Xenopus tropicalis: one gene and its partners. The protein of the gene in region 1 interacts with the protein of each later gene in a biochemical or structural test. Links are inferred from orthologs where the notes say so. Each region holds a gene or a part of one and is shown in the gene's direction. Other genes may lie near its edges.

Region 1 (7,730 bases):
TAGAGAATTGCATGTGTCATTGAACTTAGTAGTAAATGAGGCCTTGGATTAGCACACTGATACCGGGTTTGGATTTGCTCAGGTTGGCATATCCCTATAAGTGCCCTCCAGCATTGTACAGGCAGATAGCAAGCCGGGCAATACAATGGAATAGGATGTTGCTGCTAAGTGATGTGCTGATTATGGAGTGGATTACATCTGAGCACAGATTTCCTGTCTAGCTCAGCATCTATTCCTGCCAATGGCAAGCTCTTTATGCCAATGTGTCTGTAGATGCTTTTTGCAGTATGGCTACTGTAAACATGACATTTAACTGCAGGCTTCTGGGTTCTTTATCTGACTGTGTTGCAGTAGTAGCTTAAGCTGAAAGCAGGTACATTTCTTATGCTATTTCCTGAAGGTGGGTTATGTAATGGGGAAATACATGTCTGCTGTCATAGGCTTATATTGGACACTGCTACCTCTTGGCATTTTGTGCTGCATGGTTGTACCCATGTGATTATTATATGGTTCATATAATTTGTTATAATTAAGGTTGAAGAATGGCAGCTAATGAGAAAATGGAAGTGACTGTGAAAACACTGGATTCACAAACAAGAACATTCACAGTGGATGCAGAGGTGAGGACAGTTTCTGGCTATATATATATATATATATACACACACACACAAATACTTCCAAAAGGGTAAATACTGTATATATATCTAAATATATATATATATATATATATATATATATATATATATATATATATATTTAGATATACAGTATTTACCCTTTTGGAAGTATTTGTGTGTGTGTGTGTATGTGTATATATATATATATATATATATATATATATATATATATATATATATATATATATATGTGTTTGCAACATTGTTTGTTCTATGTTATTATAACAGGTTTATATTGCAATTACAACTGCAATTATAGTTATTTGTATTCTGCAGAATATGTTGAAACTCTATCATCTCCATCATCAATATTAATTTGTGTGGATTTAGAAAAATATTTGATTACAAAAAGTTATAAACCTGCTTTTGCTTGCATGAGGAAATATATGTTTATTTTTACTTACTTTCTAGTTTTCTGACAGATATTCTTAAATAGCATCAGACCAGTACAAGTGACGGAATTAAATACTGTTTTATTTTTTACTTTTATAATACATAAATATATCAAATCTGATCTTGTAATGATGATACAGATGCTACAACTGCAACTGTAGTTCCACCACATTCCACCACAAGACTCACTGCAGCTGCATCCCACAACCTGATAAATGTTAATCAAATAGCAGAGAACATAAATGAGGCAGTGCACTCAGTGGCAGGTGAAGTGGGAAATCGTCCAAGCAGCCAAATAATTATTTTCCATTGCCCTTAAAGGAAAACTATACCCCCAACCTGTATTATTTCTTGTCATGTGATCTCCGAGGGAGCACACAGCCCATCACTAAATGGTGGATCAAGGGAAAGGATGTAAAAGGGCAATATTTACTGATATATGTCATTCTGGCAAGATTCTTTAATAGTTTATATTATGTTAAGTGACCTATCTGTTGGTTAATTATTCATTCTGGGGTATAGTTTTCCTTTAAGATGGAAACTGGTGACTTCGAAATGAAAGCAACTCTGTATATGTGCCTATGGCTGGTGATGCATCCAAAACCTTTGTAAAGGACAACTATAGCCTTTAAAGCAAGTATTTTTAATTTCTGTTATAAAATAGGGAAGTGGCACTAATTTCCTCTCCTAGAGGTGGCCATACAGAGGCAGATTTAAGTGGGTAATTCATTCTTCAAACCAAGTCATCAGTAGAAATGTGCATCTGTGGGGCTCTTCAGTGGGTGTGCCTGAGTGATATCTGACCAAAAATCATTCATAATTACTTCATAGATGAAAAAAGGCTGGCACAGGAAAAACTGGGCCAATTAACAAAAAATGTGGTGCAATTAAAACATGTTTCTTTTTTTATTTAAAGAAAAACATCTCAAACATGAACAGTCTGACGCATTTTGTGCCAAAAGCAGGCATTAATCATACGCTTATGGCCTAATAATCGAGCCTATGATTACGTTTCTGCTTTTGGCATAAAATGCGTCAGGCTGTTTATGTTTGAGATGCTTCTTCTTTAAAAAAAAAAAAAAAAGAAACATGTTAACTGCACCAAATTTTCTGTTAACTGGTCCAGTTTTACCTGTTCCAGCCTTTTCTCATCTATGAGGTAATTTTGCTTGAAATTTGCCAGTAAGCTTGAAGGTTTTTGAGGCTTGTGCATCTGGGCCCTTTATTTTATTTTTTGTTCAGGTAAGTTTTATTGCAAACAAAAATCACATCAATAGGTACTGACATAAAACGTTTGAAGTATACAAAGAGATATTACAAATGTCACCGCGTTGTAGTCATATACATGTCATGTTGTAGTGATGGGTAGTTAACATTTTAGGGGTTACATGGGCCCTTTATATTAATTGGTGAGTATGCCCCCATAACAAGCCCATCCGGAAAAATTCTTTATTTTGAATGACAAAAATCATGCATGGCCACCTTAAGAAAGAGAGAGGTAGACTCTGTACCGTTATTTGTGTATTCATGTTAGTATAGTAGAATGTATGCATGGGGGACAAAGTCATAATTGCTGCCTGCCATTTACCTGTACTCTTTCTCCCCTAGATCACAGTAAAGGAATTCAAAACACATATTTCATCTGATGTTGGAATTTCACCAGAGAAACAGCGGCTTATATATCAGGGGCGAGTACTGCAAGAGGACAAAAAACTGAAAGAATACAGTAAGTTTTTTGTGTGACTTTCCTTGTATATCTATGTTTTAAATGGTCCTTTTAATATTGGCATGCTCTTACATAGCATGTATGCTTTTTTTAGATGTTGATGGGAAGGTTATTCACTTAGTTGAACGGGCTCCTCCTCAGACACAGCCTTCAACAGGTGGACCATCTACATCTTCAAGTACTTCACCATCCAGCAGTAATGCCGCTAATGTACCTGGGGCTGGGGCTCCTGAAAGGAATGGAAACAGCTATGTGATGGTTGGCACATTCAATCTTCCGGTAAGACAATTTGGTCACACGCAGAGAAGCTCTTATTGTAACAGAAGAGAATCATTGTGAACTGTTGACAGTTGGGTATATAAAGGACACTATCACTTTTTATTTTTAATATAATGCACTATTAAAATAATGGCATATGGGTCAGTTCTCAAGAGTTTTCCCTGCTGTAATCTTAACATGCAGACAATAAAGGATTAACCTTGGAGAACTTAAATAATTGATAATGTCATAGACAAGGAGGTCCCTGACCCATAGAGCTAGTTGTTATAACTGAAAAAGCACATGGAAAGCTAATAATGAAGCTACTAACAGTGGATGGTGGTTGGCTCTTAGAAAAAGTTGAGTGGTTTGTTGTTTGACATATGCGGTTTAAATGATAGATTAAAAGATAAAAAGGAGAAGGTGAAGGCTGAATGTTAAGTGAAAAATATTAACAAAAATCTATCATCAGGATTAATGATTTCTGATTGCTAGGGTCAGTGACGTGGGAACCCTTAGAGAAGCTAAAGGAAAGGTGGCAGGGGGCTCAGCCAAAGGAATAATGGGAATGGAATAATGCCTATTTGTTTTTTTAGATTCCCATCTTAAATATCCGTTATGTATGGTAACTTTTAATTGAATATTCCAGACATAACATTAGCAGGAATAACCCCTAAATATACCCATAACCCAGGGATCCCCAACCTTTTTTACTCATGAGCCACACTGTGACGTAACAAGTGTTTGTGAGCAACACAAGCATGGAAAAGGGTCTTTGGGGATGCCAAATAAGGGCTGTGATTGGCTAGTTGGTAGCTCCATGTGGCCTGCTGGCCTTAAGGAGGCTCTGCTTGGAGTAAAACTGTCTCCCTGCTTCCAAAACTTGCCTCCAAGCCAGAAATTCAAAAATAAGCACCTGCTTTGAGACCACTGGGAGTAACATCAAAGGGGGTGCTGAGCAACATTTTGCTCACGAACCACTGGTTGGGGGATCACTGCATAACCTGTGCATAGATACCCTATATCATGGGTAGCATGTACTAAGTGTCATGTACCTGTTTTTTTTTTTTCTTTCTTTGATTCAAAGAAACTTTTTATGTGACTGCTAAACTTCTATTTACCTATTGTTCTTCAGCATGTAATGTCTGGTCTTGGTGAGGCCAGCAGAGGCCCACGTGTTTCTACAGTAAGTGGGGTAAGTTTATATATGTACACTATATTTTCTTCTGCATCCTTTTGCACCTTTTAGGTCTGTCACATTTACTAGCAATAATTGCCTGTGTTTCTTACATAGAAGCTTGTGCTTGCATTTTTTTCTGTTGTATGCTTGTTCCATAAGAGATTCTCCCCCAGCTGATTGTTGTATACCATTAGGGAAATCTGCAAGTGTATTTCTTGATAGATTGTAAGGAATATTTTTCTGACATACTGTTACTGTTCTCCCCATTTCAATCCCACCCCATATTTTTTTTTTTCACTGTATTCTTCCCTTCTTATCGATATTATCTCTCATACTTCCCTCTCTTTCCAACTATTCTGACATCCTCCTTTACCTTTACCCTTCATACCCACATCTTTTATATTGTCTTCTTTTTTTTCTATTCCTTCCTCTCGCACCCTTGCTATTTTCTTTTTGTCTTTCTTTTGTCTTCCTCTTTCTTTTGCTCAGAATGATGGCTCCACTCTTGATGTCCATATAAATCTGGATCAACAGCTCCCTGTCCAGGTATATGGAGCGTAGGAATTCAGAGCAAGGTCACACAAACCACTTTTTCAATATGAATAACATTAGAGGTTGTTTGGATATTCTTTGGAGATACATTTATCATTAACAATGTATTACTTTCATTTTGAATGCTTGGTAAGCCTTACCGCTTTTCTTGTTTTTGCAAAGCATTTTCTATAGACCCTAATCCTCTCCATATCAGTTGCATTTTATTTGTAAAACTTAGTCATTTAGTTGCTTAGGCCTAGGCCAGACACATTACATTAAATTTCCAAAAATGCTGAGTCAATTCTTTTTTTTTTTTTTTTTTTTTTTTTTTTTTGTTATAGAGGTAAGTGTCAAAATGTTTACAACACTAGTAAAACATTTCAACTCTTTTCACATTTCACATTTAAATAAACTTTTAATATCTTATAAATGGAATTTTTCTAAGCCTTATACCTGGGCAGATAAGCTCCAGAATCGGACTAAAGGACTCGAAACGGCAGCTTAAATCTGCCTGTGTATGGCCACCTTTATACACACAACCACAAAGCAGGTTGACTGTATTGTTCTTATATGTTTTATTGCTTATCTTTAAGTTCAGGCTCTCTGCTATTTATCTATCTTGTTGACTTTTAGGGCTCTGGCACACGGGGAGATTAGTCGCCCGCGACAAATCTCCCTGTTCGCGGGCGACTAATCTCCCCGAGTCGCCATCCCACCGGCGAAAATGTAAGTCGCCTGCACAGCGTGTGCTATCCCACTGGCGACTTACATTTTCACCGGTGGGATGGCAATTCGGGGAGATTAGTCGCGGGCGACTAATCTCCCTGTCTGCCAGAGCCCTTAATGTATGGCCTGGTCTAAGATAATTAAGTCATAGCAACCAGATAGCAGTTACAATTTCACACCTGAGAGCTATGTAAATAATTAATAAACCACAAAATATAACAAAGATCCATTAAAATTGCCTTAGGATACCACTGTTTGTGTTGAAAATCACCTTTTAACTGACTCAGAGCCCATCTTGCCCCACGCTCCCAGGTATACCCTGCACAAGTAGGACAGAAAAGATTCATGAGTTCATGTGGGGTGTCAAACAAATTAGCCCATCAAAGAGATTTTTAACATTTCCATGTCTTTTTACGCTGGCCTTACAAGGTCACCAAACTAGTGGCTCAGGGGCCAACAATTGGATTACACTGTGGGCCTATAATTAAGGATCTCCTTAAACTCTCAGATTTTCAAACATGCCCAATACATATCTACTGGATTTATGATCAGATATGGTTCTTACAGGCTCTGCTGAGGGCCCACACAAGGCCAGTAAACTGCCAACTTGACTGCATTTTATCAGCCTATGTTTGGTTTTAACAGGACTGAGTGAAAATGCCTGAAACATCTGAGCAGATCCAGTACAAGTCGGTATTAAAGAGTCAACTCTGATTTATTGCAAATTATCTTAAGCAGAACATTGTTTTATCAGTTTAGGGTGCACATGTGTTATTGAGGAACCCATAAGTAATAAATATGAAATTAACACAGAGGCTCAACCAAAAATATGTTCTTATTGAAATCTGTGGACTCATGCATTTCTGGGCAAGTGTTAGTTGCTTGCATGATATCTACATGGCTTTAAATGGTAGTGGTTAACCACTGTATATTTGACCTATTTAAAAACACAATATACATAGTGCCTGGTATTTAGTTTAGTGGGTTTGTTCTGTTATAATTGTGAAACAACAAGAAGGGACATTTAAGATGCAAATCCAAACTGAAGACCAAGCAGTTGCTGAGGCAGTCTAATGCATCCTGATGCTTTCTCTCGCTTCTCCTTGCTTTCCTCCATCTTGCTTTGTTATCCATCTGTGTTTTTGTCCACACTTTCTACTTCTCCTTCCAATCCCACAACTATGATTTTTGACACATCTATGTAACTCTCTTCACTCTTCTGTAATGATGTCTTTCTTCTCTTTTTATGCCTTCCATTACCTGGCTACCAAATTCTTCACAACCTTACATAATATTATAATTCTTTATAATCCCAATCCCTGCGTTGATGTATATCTTTCTTTACCCACATAAATTCTATTTCATTCTCCTCTTCTTTCTTTCCATATCCATTCTACTTTTCCCTTTTTCTCCTGTTTGTCTCCCTTTGCAGAGTGAACCTCGTGTTCGTCTTGTTTTGGCTCAGCAAATACTGCAGGACATACAGAGGATACTGGATCGTTTGGAGGTAAGAAAAACCTTTTGTAGCTTTATGCAAGTGTATGTGGACTGCTGGTTCTATAACCTTTTTGTGTATTTCAGGGACAACCAGTTAATGAGCAGACTGCAGAACCGATGGACACAGCAGTGTCTGAAGGAGAGGCCAGCAGTAGAGAAACCTTGCCTCAGACTACACAGAATACAGATGGGCAGTCGAATACAGCCCCTACCAGGTGAAACTGTAATTCCACCCCCCCCACCCCTTTTTTATCTCCTTTTCTAAAACAACAGCTTATAATAATTCTTTTGCTTTAGTCATCCTTCACCATCAGAATATGTTGAGGTCCTGCAGTCTTTGTCACGGGTTGAGGAACGTCTAGCCCCTTTCATGCAACGTTACCGGGAAATCCTTAGTAGTGCTACCTCTGATGCCTATGAGAATGTAAGTTGCCTGATGTGTAAAAGATTCACGTGTTAAACATTTCATACTTACAGAATGTCTATTAATTGATTGTTTAAAAAGCAACTTATTAAGATTAATTTGATGATTTATGTAGATAATAAGGAACATTATTCATGGCTGTTTGAGTTGATGCTTGTGAGAAAAAGGCACAGATAAGTAAAGAGATATTTGCATTTTTTAAGGGTCAGTAGCTGGACTATATTTGGCAAATCACATATTTGTATGCATTGGTATAGGCTTTTATAGGTGAAATTTGTGAATAGGTTCTGGTTTTGTGATAGTATGATGGGCTGT
Region 2 (7,730 bases), on another chromosome or scaffold:
CCTTTAACCATTTGTGCTGTAGAGTTTAAAGGAGACATATGTTAACATTAAGAATGTACAAATGCATTATACTCCTCTAAATATAGGATTATGCTTAAAAAAGTTGTTGACTGATGTATTGAGAAATTCCCCCAAAGTGCCACCCATCTGTACTACTTCCTGCTGGCTTAATTCTCTAGATGTGCAGGGGAGCAGGCGGCACTCCATATACTGGACTGTAGGATAGGAACCAATCTGCAACTAGGCTGACCTGATAGGGGACTGAAGTCTGTTTTTGCTTGTGTGACTGCAGAGCTGTGATTGGCTATCCCCCTTCTACTGTGCTTCTGGCAGGGACCCTTAGGACATGCCACTCATCATTTGCTCATCAAACACGAACAGAGACCTGATAGGATTTATAGGAACCTCCAATAAAGGGGCCATTTTTATAGATATTATTTATTTTTGGACAAAAGTGAAACCAGCACCATGTATTATTTATAATTGCCTAGAAGATTAGGGTTTTCTTCCATTTATCTAATATGTCTTCTTTAAATGTATTTTGTACAAACTAAATGAAAAAAATATTTCTTCATCTTCTAGTGAATATTGCCCCATAATAGGGCACCATCTGGCATGTTAAATTGCCAAGGCTTTTAAAGTAAAGAAAGTATTTTTTAATAAAATACAGGCATGGGACCTGCTATCCAGAATGCTTGGGCCCTGGGATTTTCCTGATAAAGAATATTTCTTTAATTTGGATCTCCTCTGCTAAAAATCATTTAAATATTGAATAAACCCAATAGGATTGTTTTGTCCCCAATAAGGATTAATTATATCTTAGTTGGGATCAAGTACATGGTACTGTTTTATTATGACAGAGAAAAGGGAAATCAATTAAAATTATTTGCTTCTAGTGGAGTCTATGGGAGACTGCCTTTCCATAATTCGGAAATTTCTGGATAACAGGTTTTCGGATAAGGGATCCCATACCTGTACTTCTGAAATAATGCAGAATTGTTGAAGTGCAGACATGTAGATAGCCCATGTATATTGTATCATTATTTATTATTAGTTTTATTTTCTCCCCATTTTAATTTGCAAGTGTATTGTAATATGGTTGGAGAAAGTGCTTGTGTGTTAAAATAAGATGCAGGGCTAGGGGAATTTCTGAGGGAGGATCATATCTGATCCACTTTTGGAGAATTAAGTATTGGTGTAATTCTCTGTAATATAACTGATGGTGCTGAGGCACAGTGGCTCTGGGTGCAGACACCGCTGAGATCATTTGTGAGCTGAGGTGCTGTTTCTTGGCTGCGCTTATATGCAGGCCTTGAAACATCCTGGTCTTGCATTAGCCTTAAGCTAAGATATTGTTTTGTACGATATTCAGTGCATGTATAGTGAATTGAGGCAACCAATACCGCAAAAGCATTGGATGTCGGTCGTCTCATCAATCGGACGAGGCGGCACCCGAGCAAAAACAAGCATTTAGGGATGAATTCCTATTATTTCTACCTCCATATCTGACGATTCAGCCCTGAATGCTAGTGGAGGGTATGAGCAATCACTGGAAAGATCATAATTATAATGTGTATGGCCACCTTTAGGCCTGTGTCACACAAGCCATTTTCTCTGCTGAAGTTAAGAGGCATATCATGTAAAAATTAAGAATGTACCAGTGAATTATTCTCCTCTAAAAATAGAAGGATTTTGCTTAAAAAAAAGTTGCGTTTTGAACTGATTCATTGAGAAATTCCCCCAAAACCCTACTAGTCCCACCCATCTGTTCCACTCCTTCTGGCTAAATTCTCTGGATGTGCAGGGGAGCTGGCGGCACACTGGACTGTAGGATAGGAGCCAGCAGCAGCTAGGCTAACCTGATAGGGAACTGAAGCCTGTCTTTGTTTGTATGGCTGCAGGGCTGTGATTGGTTACCCCCTCCTGCTGTGCTTCTGGCAGGGACCGTTAGGACACACCCATGCTTTATTTGAATCACTAACAGAGACCTGAGATCTTAGGGAGATATAGGGACGTCCAAAAAAGGGCCATTTTTGTAGACAGTATTCAATTTTAGCCCAAAGTGAAACCACCACCATATATTATTCATAATTGCCTACAAAATTAGGGCTTGTCTCCTTTAAATATACCTGTGGAGTAAATGCTGATTGTCTTCTACCCTGACTTTAGTGTGCACTGACAATGGGGCTCTTTTAAAAGCACTGGGCAAATTTTTGTCTGGCCAGTAACCCATAGCAACCAATCATTGATTAGTCTTTTCAGCTAGCTGTAGGGAGAACAGTGAAGGCAAATGTATAATGTTGTTGCCATGGGTTACTGTCCAGGTGCTGATTTGGCCAGTGTTTATAAATGACCCAGACTGGTACACTGACATGTTGGCTGGTGCCAACTAATCTGCGCTTTCACCCCCCTGGGGTATTTATGCCAGTTGACAAAACAATATGTGGTTTTAATGAGAAACACTTATGTCAGTGTGCACATATATAAAAACTGAATCTGCCTCATCAGGGCCATTCAGCCTGTCATTTACTTAAATAGTAATCCCCCTGATACGAGGCCTTAAGAAATATATTTTTTTCTGGGGCCAGTTCCTTAACATATAAGTATTTTTAACTGGAAAAAAGATTTCAAGATCTAGTACAAAAGTGAAATTGAACATTATTTGTAATATATTTCAGTGCATTTTCATTTCCTCATGTTACTGACCCTTTAAGTGTGTGTATGTGCCTATACATACATAAATTTAAATGGCTAGTTGACTTATAAATAAAGTAAGACTGGTTAAAATAGTAGCAAAAATCCTGTTTTAGTATGAAAATACTACATGGGACTACAAGACAGGTAAGTTAACTTTTGTACAGGTATAAGACTGCATGCATATTTACTGTAGCTTCTTTATGCATTTGTCTTTATTAAATGGGTAATTCACCTTTGAGTTACATTTTAGTATGAAGTGGAAAATACTATTCTGAGACAATTTGCAATTGGTTTTCATTTTTTTATTGTTTTTTTTTTTATTTCACTTTTTGCTCTCAAGCTCTTGAGTCAGCAGCTAACTGGTTGCTAGGGTCCAAATTACCTTAGCAACCAGAGAGTAGTTTGAATGAGAGATTAATATATGAATAGGAGAGGGTCTGAATAAAAAGAAGTAAAAAGTAACAATAAATCTGTAAGTAACAATCATTTTTTGGCTGCTGGGGTCAGTGACGTTCCTTTGAAAGCTGCAAAAGTCACAAGAAGAAGACAAATAATTAAAAAAAACTATAAAAAGACAAATTAAAAAGTTGCTTAGAATTGGCTGTTCTATAACATATTAAAAGTTAACTTAAAGGTGAACTACACCTTTAAGGATTTTTCCTTTATCACCCCTCCCATGTTAAGAAAAGTGTTTTCAGGTGATAATATCCTTTTATTTCTCTAGGGTTGTACACACATTATAAATTAGTATACCAGGGTACAGTTTCCAGTATTAACCAGTCTGCAATAAGATTTAAAGAGTCAATTACAAGTTGGATAATGGCAACTGCACTTGGATAATGGCACAGGATCCACATACAGTCTCTCTTTCTCTACAGGTTCTAGTGAACACAGTGTGTTGCCTTTTGATGCTGATTGCTAAACTGATCCAGCATGTGGTATTTGGTCCCCTCCGTGTTGGAGAGAGACAGGTAAAAAGGACTGTCTATGTTCCAGTTGGTGTTAAAGGAACAGTAACACCAAAAAATGAAAGTGTATAAAAGTAATAACAATATAATGTACTGTTGCCCTGCATTGCTACAACTGGTGTGTTTGCCTCAGAAAGACTACTATAGTTTATATAAGTAAGCTGCTGTGTAGCCATGGGGGCAGCCATTCAAAGGAGAAAAGGCACAGGTTACTTAGCCGATAACGGATAAACCCCCATTATATGGGGCTTATCTACTAATTATCTGCTATGTAACCTGTGCCTTTTCTCCTTTTTTCCAGCTTGAATGGCTGCCCCCATGGCTACACAGCAGCTTATTTATATAGTAGCTTTTCTGTAGCAAAAACACCAGTTTTTTGCAGAGCAACAGCACATTATATTTTAATTACTTTAAAACACTTACATTTTTTGATGTTACTGTTCCTTTAATAACCAACTTGTATGCTGTTTAATCCTACAAATTGCAGTCATCTTGACTTTGCACTCTTCTCTTGCCTTCTTTATTTTTGTAGCACTTGAAGGACAAGTTTTGGAACTTCATCTTTTATAAATTTATCTTCATCTTTGGGGTACTCAATGTCCAGACAGTAGAGGAAGTGGTCCTTTGGTTTTTGTGGTTTGCTGGATTGCTTTTTCTTCATCTCATGGTGCAGCTCTGTAAGGATCGGTTTGAATACGTACGTAGAATGGGAAAAAAATTAAACATTGCACTAAAAATTTAGCTCTGATTCTGCTGTGCATATATTTCTAAATGATTTTCTCCTTTCTTTCTTACAGTTATCTTTCTCCCCAACCACTCCAATGAGTTGCCATATGCGTGTCTTGGTTCTGCTGAATATTATGCTCTTGGCCTGTTGTGGTCTTGCTGTGCTGTGTGCAATTGCTGGATACACACATGGGATGCACACATTGGCTTTTATGGCTGCTGAGGTAAGAAAATACCAGATTGTTTCTCCCTGTGGTACATAAGCCTGCTCGCTGCTTTAATATACTCCACATTTAGATACCAAATTCTTAGTCTCCCTGTCTTAGTATACTGCTTTTGATTAATTTTTAAAAGGTATTTATACCCTATTATATAATTTAATGTAAAATTGCTCACTTCTCTTCTGGTCTCTGCTATTATCATGAAGGTGTAAAAAAGCTTATTTTACTGAAGTAGGATGTGTCCGTTGATGCTTAGCTTAGCTCCCCTTCTCTGTAATCAATGTGAATTTCAATGTGCTGAGATAAGCAGTTTTATATGTTATACATAGCGTTAATGTCTCCTTTTAATTTAAGTTATTACTTGAATAATTACCAATTAGCATTTAAGTTTGTCTGCATTTCTAACTTATATCCTGTTGTACTTTTTGTCAGACTATAGTTTGTCTTGTCTTGTTTTTAATGGTAGCAGGAATCTCTCAAAAGGAAAATAAAGCAACACAAGTCCTCAGAAAGGGTTCACTCCTTGAAATACAGTACCTTTTTAGAATTTAATAAAAGTGACTGCATTGCTGAATTTTCCATTTGAATGATTCCTTAAATACGGTAAGGTAAATCCAGTTTTTTTTTTTTTCTTTAAAATACCAGTATATATATATATATATATATATATATATATATATATATATATATATATATATATATATATATATATATATATATGAGAGTTTAAGTGCCTTTTTTTGATGTTGGTGTTCTCTGTGATTGGTTTTACTCAATCTTACAAACACATCAGATCAAATGGATCGTTTCTTTAGAATACAATGTTATTTAGTACGTAGCCAAAGAGATTAACAAGGGTCCAGTGGCATTAGTAGCACAGAAATAGAATTAAAACTTTTCTTATATAAATGGGACATTTGTTGCTAAGAAATAGTTTATTTTTAGGTGATGTCAACAATTCTGTAGGGAAGCACTGGCACAACACATTCAATAGAGTAAATTAAAGTGCAAATGTGCCAGTATTAATTTAATTACTATTTAATAATTTAATATTTTATTTCCTTAAAAGTGTGATTGCTCAAATCTCATGTAAGTGTAGGTGATCTAAATATCACACTCTGGCTAAATCACCTAATCACCAGATGCATAAATAGCAAGGCCAAACATCCATCTTTCATCAGGGACCTTCTGTCTATCTTATGTGGATACCCACTGAAAACAAAGTGCACCAAAATTGTGTAGTAACATTTTAATAAGAAATAAATATAAACCCAAATGGAATACTCACAGAGATTCATTCAAGCACTAAATAAAAATTCTTTAAAATCCTGGAAACTTCTGAGGTTCTCTACTTGTTTCATGTGGTATGTTACACATCCTCAGGAGGTATCACCTATTTTAGGTGATGGTTGGACAGGTACGCATTTTAACTGTAGAAATAATATTTTTATTTTATGCTGTTGCTGGACACTTAAGAGAATTGTGATCTAAAAGCTGCTGATTATCTGTGCACATTAAAAATGAATTACTTTTATTCCTGTAGTGCATGTTGGTGACAACAAGAACCACTCATGTTGTGCTACGGTAAGCCCTAAAACTATTATTGTGTTATTTTTTTTTATTTTTTTTTAAATGAAAGTATGTACAATAGTGTTAAAACCAAAACATATCAAATAAGTATATTATCTTACAGCAATAGCTCGTGCTTTTACTGCAAGAGTTGTTTTGTGCTAAAATGTAGCCTTTGATGTGATGTAGAAAAACTGTGTAACTGAAGTTGAGGTATTGCATTGTTGATCCAGGAGAGTTTTGCTTGCAGAGGTCTGTCTGTCACTGTTCCTTGTGCATCAGCCAGGGCGGCAGGCAGAGACCGGTGTTATGAATGCTGATGTTCTCCATCTGAGGCAGTAATGGTCTGCATGATCTGAGGGTCCTGTGAGCTGACGTGATCAAAATCACCTTGCCACTTGGAAGCCATACCCTCAGTCATGTGAACAAGAAACGTGCTGTTAGTAGCCGGCAGTTGTGAAACTATTTAGGATTGCTTAGGAATGTTGTAAAGCCTGTCTCCCATAGACTCCATTTTAATCAAATCATTTAGATTTTTAAAATTGATTTTGATTTCCTTTTTCTAATAATAAAACAGAAGCTTGTATTTGATCGCAACTAAGATATCATTAATCCTTATTGGATGCAAACAATCCTATTGGGTTTAATCAATCTTTTATTGATTTTTTTTTAGTAGACTTAAGATATGGAGATCCAAATTATGGAAAGATCCATTATCCGGAATACCCTTGATCCCAAGCATTCTGGATAACGGGTCCTATAGCTGTAATTCTAAACTGAGAAATTTAGGTAGCAGGTAAAGGTTTTTTGCAATATAAATGCAGAGTGGGACACACAAGACCCATACAAATATAAGTGTTGTGTGGTAGAAATGTTTAATGTGTGGGCAGAGGGTGGATAACATTGCAAGTTGCTGCAAGCCAGTTCAGGAAACCTATAATAAAATTTTATAGTGCCTGTCTCCCATGGGACACAAACATTATTGATGAATAAGATACTTTTTAATTTACTCAGAAAGCCCAGGTGCGTGTATATGTTTTGAGATTGATTTTAAATACATTTAAGGAAGATGATTTTTGGATTGCAGATGACCGTTTTATATAGTGCAAATAGATTTTATTGCGATGGAGAAGATTGGAGGTAGCGATTGGGGATATGAGAAATTAGGAGTTTTTTCAGATAATTAGGGCCTTAATTATAAGAAGGCAGATTTTAAAAAGAATCCATTTCCAATCCATTTAATTGGAAGCCAGTGCATGAAACAAAGTATAAGAGACACATTTATCAGGTGTTCTGGGCATGAGCATTTTTCTGTTTGATTTGCATTACAATAATTCTGTTTGACCTGTAAACTGAGGGCCATATTGTCTTCAACACTTGTACTTTTATCAGTGCCAATTTATACTAGCTAGGTAACTTTCTATTGTTTCATAATATGGGTTCTTGCAGCTATGTCATTCACCTTTGGGACCTAAACCACGAAGGAACATGGGAGGGCAAAGGGACTTATGTATACTACACAGATTTTGTGATGGAGCTCAGCCATCTG
Region 3 (8,242 bases), on another chromosome or scaffold:
CTCAGGTTAACAGTATTAGTTTAACAATATGGCACAATTAATATACTAATTACAATTAATAGAATAATATACAATCAAAGGCAACATTTACTCATTAGTAACTGAAAATAGTGGCACAGATCCTGATCTCTGCTTGCAAAAGCTGGCTGTATGGCAACTTGGCGAGGCGACCGATATCGGAGAAGGCTGCGGATATCAGTCGACTTGATCGGGCGGGTTAAAAGATTTTGATCGGGCGCCATAGAAGGCGCCTGAGCAAAATCTGCCTTCAGGGCTGAATTGACAGAAGGAGGTAGAAATCCTATTGTTTCTACCTCCATATCTGACGATTCAGCCCTGAATGTCAGTGGAGGGTTGGAACCGATGGTCAATGGTCGCACGAAAGATCGAAAATCGCCACGTGTGTGGCCAGCTTAAAGGAGAAGGAAAGGCTAAGTCACTTGGGGGTGCCAAAATGTTAGGCACCCCCCCAAGTGACTTAGAGCGCCTACCTTGTACCCCGGGCTGGTGCCCCTGTACGGAGGGAACAGCACCAGCCCGGGGCACCTGTAGACACCGCTTCCTCCTTCCTTTGCGCACTGCCGGCGAAATCCGCCGGCCGGCGCATGCGAGGAGGAAGGAGGAAGCGCCGGCAGCTACCCCGGGCTGGTGCTGTTCCCTCCGTACAGGGGCACCAGCCCGGGGTACAAGGTAGGCTTTCTAAGTCACTTGGGGGTGCCTAACATTTTGGCACCCCCAAGTGACTTAGCCTTTCCTTCTCCTTTAAGACTCCCAATTTGTGCCTGCTCTTTGATATCTCCTTTTAAAAGTAAACAAATATAAGCAACACACAAACACTTGAAAATCGTACAGTACAAAGCACTTGTGTGAAATAATGCTGAAGTAGGCACTGTTAATTAAAGGCACAAGGATCCAGAGTGCAAATGCTACACCTACTGCATCCTTTGTAGCCAAAACACTACAATCATTTTAAGGGGAACTATAACGAAATTAAAATTCAATATAAGCGTCAATACTGAAATAATACAGTTCCTACATATAATCAATTAAAGATTCAGAACAGTTTCTGAAATAGCCAAGTTTATCTTCATTGTCTTTCATTTTCTCTTCATGCAGGAGTTGGGTGTCAGATTTTCATTAGCAGTTAGATAAAATATATCTTTTGCAGGTTCCCCTTTTCTAGCAGATGTATAATGCTGGCCATACACGTGGCGATCTGACGATGTTTGAAACATCGTCAGATGTGCCACACACCATTCAGGGCTGAATCGGCAGGTAAGGAGGTAGAAACAATAGGATTTCTACCTCCTTCTGCCGATTCAGCGCTGAAAGGAGATTTTGATCAGGCGCCTTCTATGGCGCCCGATCAAAATTTTCCAACTGGTCCGATCGGCGAGTCGGCCGATATCAGCAGCTTCCTGCGATATCGGTCGACTCGCCGACATACCATACACGCACCGAATATCGTACGAAACGAGGTTTCGTACGATATTATCGGTGCCTGTATGGCCACCTTTAGAGCTTACTCAAATAACTGATTCTAGCACAAACAAAATTGCTAACTTTGGCACAAATCCTATCTGTGGTGGTTTTAAAAGATTGAGCTCTAATGCATCTTCTAGGCAAAGGAAACTGCCACCACTCTAGAGATATATTGGATCTGATATTTAAAATCAGGCTCCCACCTCTTGCTTGGAGAGAGGAAGAAGAGAGACAGATGCTGCGAAGCAGGAGAGCGAAAAACAACTTGATTATTTCAGAAATGGGCAGAATTTTAGAAAAAATTTAGAAAAAATCATGTTTTAGTATGCTGAAGCTTATATTGAACTTAAATATTTGTGATAATTCCACTTTAAGCTTAATAAATGTACCCTCTTTACCTGCCTATATCCTGTACCCACTGAATGTGAAATTCAACTGGTCAATTAATGTCCCAATCTGGCCATTAAGTTATTTTCCCCTCTGGCCAAAGATGTTATCCATTAAGTCCACATACGATAATCAAACACCCTGTTGGGGGCATGGGAGAGAGGAAATAAGAACATAAAAGCAGGCTAAACACAGGCTAGTTTGCCTCTATGTTTTGAATGACAACAAGGGTTCTGAAAATTAACTAGAGCTGGTCGACTGCAATGTAGCACATATTTTCGTTAGAAAGCCATTAAGTATTATAGCCTTGTAATATTATTTATTGGTATAATTACCCAGGCATGCACTGCGCCAATACTCTTATATTATTCAAAACTCATATTAATGTTACCATTAAATGTCGGTGTTCCCTGTGCATACCGATATACTTCCAGACGTTAGCTACCTGGCTCCAGGAGCATGGACAATTGTCTCTGACCCGAAACCACCATAGTACAAACAAAAACGCAGCAGTCCAGAGACTCTGAGACACATTCGCGAATCCGACTAATGACGCCACTTCCTGTATGACAGCTGACAGGTGATTCCGAATCCGGTTCCGGGCTTTCGCATGTGAGTAGTGGTGTCTGGTAAGACTGGGTCAGAGAGATTTTTGGGGGGGGTGCCTTTGTGCATGGTAAGGTTAATATAGGTGTTACTATTTTGTGGTAATATGATGGAACCGACATATAACAGACCAGGAAGTTCTGTTGAACACGCTGGTGATAGAGAATGTTGATACAGGGGAGCGGAATGGAAAGACTCAGAGATATATTTAACTAATATATTGGTGCCAATGGCGGCCCGGAGCTTTTTTCAGTTTAATTACACGAACGTGTACTAATACTGCTGGGGCTTCTGACGTGTGGGAGGTGACTTTGCCTAGGTCTGGGTGTCCTGTCTGCATCCGCTCAGCCATTACTGAACCACAGGATCCTGTATGTGCTGATAACAGCATTGTTGACGTCTGTACCATCCATTTGACACAGTACCATCCATTTGACACATTTCTGACCGCTACTGCCTTTAGGGCTCTGGCACACGAGGAGATTTGCGTTTTTTCCCCCTGGTGCTTTGGCGACAAGTCGCCACGACAATACCCACAAAGAGATTTCATGCGAGTTGAGCTCCAGGCGATCTGCTACCCATGGTACACTCAACAGTCAACCCCCCCTCATGTTTACTCAAGTCGCTCAGAAAAGGGTCTGTGTGCGATTTTAAACAGCAGGCGATTTGAAGCTGACGCTGGCGATTTCCATTGATTTATATCTTGTCGCTCGTCTTGTCGCCAAATCGCTCTTTTAAAAATCGCTGGCAACAAATCTCCTCATGTGCCACAGCCCTTAAACTGGGCTTTCCCTAAAATTCTTCAGCTGATTAATCATCCATGCAATGGAAAGGTCATTGGGGCTCATTTATCAACACTGGGCTCATTTATCAACACTGGGCAAAATTGCACCTTGGCAGTAACCCTTGCCAACGAATCAGTGATTAGCTGTTTTCAGCTGGCTGAAGGTTGGGAAAGAAAAAATCTGATTGGTTTCCGTGGAGTTACGCCCAGGGGCAAATATGCCCTGTCTTGTAAGGGACCTGTGGTGTTTCTGAAAGTGCTATGCCGTAGTGATAAAAATACTAGGTATTTTAGCAGATGCTGCAGCTCTTATGTTGAAGTCTACCTTTGGAAGATAATACAGTGTGTGTATGTCATACAAACCCTGTTAACTGGGTGGAAATATTGAAAATGTGTATAAGTGTGGCCCTAGATATATGGGTTGTGGGTGACCATATGTACATAAACACTGTTTTCTTTTTCCTTTGAGACCTGTGGCATATCCAGTGGCCGCTCTAAACAACAGTATTTGTTGAACAAGGGGAGCTAAAAATGACGAACATTATTGGATATGCCTGCAGAGAATGGTGCATTGTTAATCATTTGTATAAATGTACTTGTGAATATTTGCTTAATGATAAAATGGCAAAGACTGGTGATTCTGAATGGTACCTGGAAAAATATATCTATTTTTTTTTTTATCAGATATGAATTCATATTCACTGACATTGTTTATGTTTTAATGCCAGTTTATTTGCAGAGTCGGACCTTGTCACTTGAAGTGTTCACAAATCCAATGGCTGACAAAAAACGCTTAGCTTTCTCCATTATTCGGCATTTACATGACCAGTTACGCAATGGTGGGCTTTCCTCAGATGCACAGGAGAGCCTGGAAGGTCTGGTTGTTACTTCATATTCTATCTTTCTGTTTATTTGATGGGGGAACTATTCTTATGAGACAAAATAGTTTTTTCTTTTCCTTGCTTTTTCATAAAACTTATGATATTCAGCCTGCACCCACCTGGGGCTACTGAACTACTGCCAGATACTTGAAGTGCAAGTTTAACAGGCAGTAGTCCAGAGGATGGAGAGCAGTACTTTTAAATGCATTCTAATATCTAAATGCTTCTTACCATGCATACGGGCAGTAATCCCCAACCAGTGGCTCGCAAGCAACATGTTGCTTACCACCCCTTTTGATGTTGCTTCCACCGGCCTCAAAATAGGTGCCCATTTTAAAATTTCTGGCTTGGAGGCAGGTTTGAAAGCCAGACACAGATTTACTCCAAGCAGAGCCTCCTGCAGGCTAGCAGTCCATTTGGGGCTACCAAATAGCCCATCAGGATGTTGAGAGTAAGTTAAGATTTTTTATGTAGTGTATAACGTGTTATGAATGTTTTGTTTTTTTAAATTATTAATGTAACAATTTTCAGCCTGCAACTGAAAATGCTCTCTGGTTGTTGGAGATCATTGACCTGGGCGAGTAAAATTGAATGAATGTGAGAGTTCAGATTTATTGTTAGTTTGATTATCTTTTTTTCTGTTCATCTTCTTTTAATCATCCATTGTGACTTCCAAACTGCTGTCTGGTTGTTGTATTAGCTTGCACCTCTGGTGGGGAAGTGTTTCTGTTGATCAGTCTCAATTACACCCTGATTCATTCATTTAATAACTGTAAAAAATGAAAATGTACAAGTTTGTAAATTAATATTGTGAATGTTAGTCCACAAATGTTTTCAATGCAAGCCTGCATTGAATGAATTAAGTGTTCCATCCCAGGGAAGTCTTCTGGTCTTTCTCTGATGCTTGAATGCAGGAACTATTGGATTACTTTAAATATATTTGTGTATAATTACTAGATGGAAGCATTATGTAATTTGAATTTTACAGTTGCTATTCAGTGCCTGGAGACAGCCTTTGAGGTTTCCATTGAAGACAGTAACTTAGCTGTACCAAGGAGTCTCCAAGAGATATTTACAGAAGCCACATGTCAGGTAATCCTTGTAATTAGTTATTGACTGACATGAAATGGCATTGTTTTGGAAAAAAATGAATTGCGAAATTCTAAACTTTTTAAAGTCTACATACCATATTTCATCTTTCTTACAAACTTGATAACATAAAGGAGTAGGAAAGTTACAGTTACTGGGGCCAAAGTCTTAGGCATCCCCAATCATTGTAATTGCTTGCCTAAAACCCCCAACCAGTGCTCCTCTTAGGAGAAAACTGCATGGCTGGTGTGTATGTGAGCTAGTGATCCTTCTTCACATGCTCAGTAGAGAGAAAAGCCAGCTTTTCCGCTCAACTGCGCATGTGTCTGTCCTGGGATTATAAAGAAAGAAGACAGGAGGAAGAGGAAAGCTAGCTTGCATATACCCTGGGCCAGTGCAATTTCATCCTAACAGGAGCACCGGGCACAGGTATCAGGTAAGAGATTACAATCACTGGTGGGGGGGGGCTAACATTTGGCACCCCTCCGTGATTTAGCCTTTCCTTCTCCTTTAATCACAGCTTTTACTATAAGACTTTGTAGCTCTACATTCTAAGCTTTCTTACCGTTTTGTAAACTGAAACTTAAAACTAGCAAAGAAGAAAGATTGGTTTGCTGTCTAGACCATAGTTTTGGGAAAATGGTAACTTAATGCGCTGTTAATTAAAGCATTCTTCTTCTCTCCTCCCAAATTCAGGACTCTCCGCAAGTTAATTCTGGCCTGGCCTCCCCTTGTGATGAGGATGTAGCAGAAGCTGAAAGATTGAAGACAGAAGGTTGGACACTTGACATGTTGCATGATCTCTTAAAGGACAAGGCAACGCAAAATATAATTTTTGCCTAATAAAAGAAAACAAGATTCTAAGCAGCTTTGCAATATACATTTATTACAAATTTGTAATGATTTTTGAGTAATTTGTATTTATAATTGCTATTAAAAAGCAGTGTTTGCCTGTCCTTTTCTATTCTCTACCCTGGTGACTCTGACTGTTGAAACAATGTAACACAAGGCAGCAGATTGACAGACTTGACTTGCTGGAGGAGACAGTTGCAACACTGATTAGAAAGTAACAACCAGGAGTTCAGCAAATGCTGCTTTCAATAGCAATTACATTTACAAATAACTTTTAAAGCGCTACAAATTTTTAACTATTTTTCATATTGGAAAATTGCTTAGAATTATGTTTTCTTTTCTTATGCAAAAAGTTATTTTTGGGGTCGACATGCCCTTTAAAATTGTCCCTTGTATTAATTGTTCATGACTGTGAGGTTATGCAGAATATTCAATTGCATTAATTGAGAAGCCATGGTATATTGGTAAAAAAAAAATGGCATTAAGGAGTACATTTTGGGACAAGAAAATACTTGTGGTAGCATAGTTAGACAGTATGGCAGTATAAGGATATTTGATTTAAAGGCGTTTATATAATCTCCACTTCTCTAAATTCACATCTTAACTTTTTTCCTATATTTTTCTTTATATCACCCTCATTTCACCTTTCACCCTTAATCCAGATTTCTTTGCCATTTGCCACTGATTTTGTCCATTTAATATAATTCCCTTACATATTTGTCCTTGTATGTATTTGTGCCCTTCCACTTCAAACTCCCTACTTCTACACTTTGTTTTCTCCTTTTGCTCCACCTTGACCTCCAGCTGCTTTTTAAAGGAATACTGTCATGGGAAAACATGTTCTTTTTCAAAACTCATCAGTTAATAGAGCTTCTCGAGCAGAATCCTGTATTGAAATCTGTTTTTCAAAAACTTTGAAGCTGAGTTTGCAGACTCAAGGCAATTTTGATATCAATTAATAGAAAGAGAAAGAATTACTGTCATGTTATTACTTTTCTTAAACCTGTATCTGTGTTTTAATTATTGTGGCCAGAGGTAGTTTTTGGTGTATGTACCATTAGATGAGCAGAGAATCTTGTTTTTCTTAGGCAATGAGCAAATGAAATTAGAAAATTTTGAAAGTGCTATTTCCTACTACTCAAAAGCTCTTGAACTGAACCCAACAAATGCTGTGTACTACTGCAACAGGTATGTATCTACATACAAGAAATATGTGTGTGTGTATATATCTCTGCTCTTCCCACGAAGAATTAAATAGCAGGCAAGCTTAACCTTTCCCGTGCCTGCCTGTCTGCTTCTAAGGGCACTCCCTCCCCCACCATTACACATAGACAACGGAGCTGAGTTTGTCACACACCGCTGAAAGCAGAAGGGGCATTGCAGGTTTGTGACTGGGCATATTTATTCACTTGGGAGGCATTTCAATTAAAACCCGGAAGAGGGGAACAAACATGGCTGCTCCATGGGTCTCATGCTACCATAATTATGAAGCGAAAAAACTTTGCAGATTTAGGTTCTAAGGAATTTAAAGCTGATACAAATTAAAACACAACAGCAGGTGTAAAAAAAATGTTCAAGTGGCTGTCCATAACACTTTAATATTTAATTTAGAAATTTCATACATATATATATATATATATATATTAAAATGTACTGTTCTGTTCAGTAATTTGTGCCTGTTTTTGTCTTTAGTAACATTAGTAACATATTTTTGCACACAACTTTTACATAAAAGCTTCTGGTTTCATTTGTCATGTCATGTATCTGCAACAGTTGCAAAACAAGGCATTATTAATCACTATATTGCGTGTCTTTTTACACAGGGCTGCAGCTTACAGCAAACTGGGCAACTATGCTGGAGCTGTGAGGGACTGTGAAGAGGCAATTACAATTGACCCTAACTACAGCAAAGCTTATGGCAGAATGGGGTATGTTCCTGTTTAAGTTACTTTACCTTACAATTATGGAAGAAATGTTTTTAAACCATTCTTTTTTAATATTTTTAGACTGGCACTTTCAAGCTTGAATAAACATGCAGAAGCTGTAGGTTTTTACAAACAAGCCCTGATACTGGATCCAGACAATGAAACCTACAAATCAAACCTAAAGATTGCAGAACAGAAAATGAAAGAGCTGCCCAGCCCAGTGAGTATTCTTTGTT

The links.
Region 2: the proteins of bag6 (region 1) and amfr form a complex in vitro, tested with the Homo sapiens proteins (2 studies listed by BioGRID, with this or other methods). The link is inferred for Xenopus tropicalis from reciprocal best matches to the Homo sapiens genes BAG6 and AMFR.
Region 3: the proteins of bag6 (region 1) and sgta form a complex in vitro, tested with the Homo sapiens proteins (4 studies listed by BioGRID, with this or other methods). The link is inferred for Xenopus tropicalis from reciprocal best matches to the Homo sapiens genes BAG6 and SGTA.

What each region holds. Positions count from the first base shown.
Region 1 is NC_030684.2:74,259,628-74,267,357, forward strand, and holds part of bag6 (large proline-rich protein bag6), read left to right. Parts: intron 1-534; 5' UTR 535-542; coding exon 543-620; intron 621-2,278; exon of another isoform or gene 2,279-2,575; intron 2,576-2,658; exon of another isoform or gene 2,659-2,678; coding exon 2,679-2,796; exon of another isoform or gene 2,797-2,890; coding exon 2,891-3,075; intron 3,076-4,189; coding exon 4,190-4,249; intron 4,250-4,723; coding exon 4,724-4,780; intron 4,781-6,926; coding exon 6,927-7,001; intron 7,002-7,075; coding exon 7,076-7,206; intron 7,207-7,288; coding exon 7,289-7,415; intron 7,416-7,730. UniProt on the Homo sapiens protein: ATP-independent molecular chaperone preventing the aggregation of misfolded and hydrophobic patches-containing proteins.
Region 2 is NC_030680.2:51,706,519-51,714,248, reverse strand, and holds part of amfr (E3 ubiquitin-protein ligase AMFR), read left to right. Parts: intron 1-3,575; coding exon 3,576-3,668; intron 3,669-4,197; coding exon 4,198-4,362; intron 4,363-4,462; coding exon 4,463-4,615; intron 4,616-6,155; coding exon 6,156-6,196; intron 6,197-7,630; coding exon 7,631-7,730. UniProt on the Homo sapiens protein: E3 ubiquitin-protein ligase that mediates the polyubiquitination of lysine and cysteine residues on target proteins, such as CD3D, CYP3A4, CFTR, INSIG1, SOAT2/ACAT2 and APOB for proteasomal degradation.
Region 3 is NC_030677.2:99,256,133-99,264,374, forward strand, and holds the start of sgta (small glutamine-rich tetratricopeptide repeat-containing protein alpha), read left to right. Parts: upstream 1-3,990; 5' UTR 3,991-4,034; coding exon 4,035-4,134; intron 4,135-5,128; coding exon 5,129-5,232; intron 5,233-5,925; coding exon 5,926-6,004; intron 6,005-7,169; coding exon 7,170-7,269; intron 7,270-7,904; coding exon 7,905-8,009; intron 8,010-8,087; coding exon 8,088-8,226; intron 8,227-8,242. UniProt on the Homo sapiens protein: Co-chaperone that binds misfolded and hydrophobic patches-containing client proteins in the cytosol. Mediates their targeting to the endoplasmic reticulum but also regulates their sorting to the proteasome when targeting fails.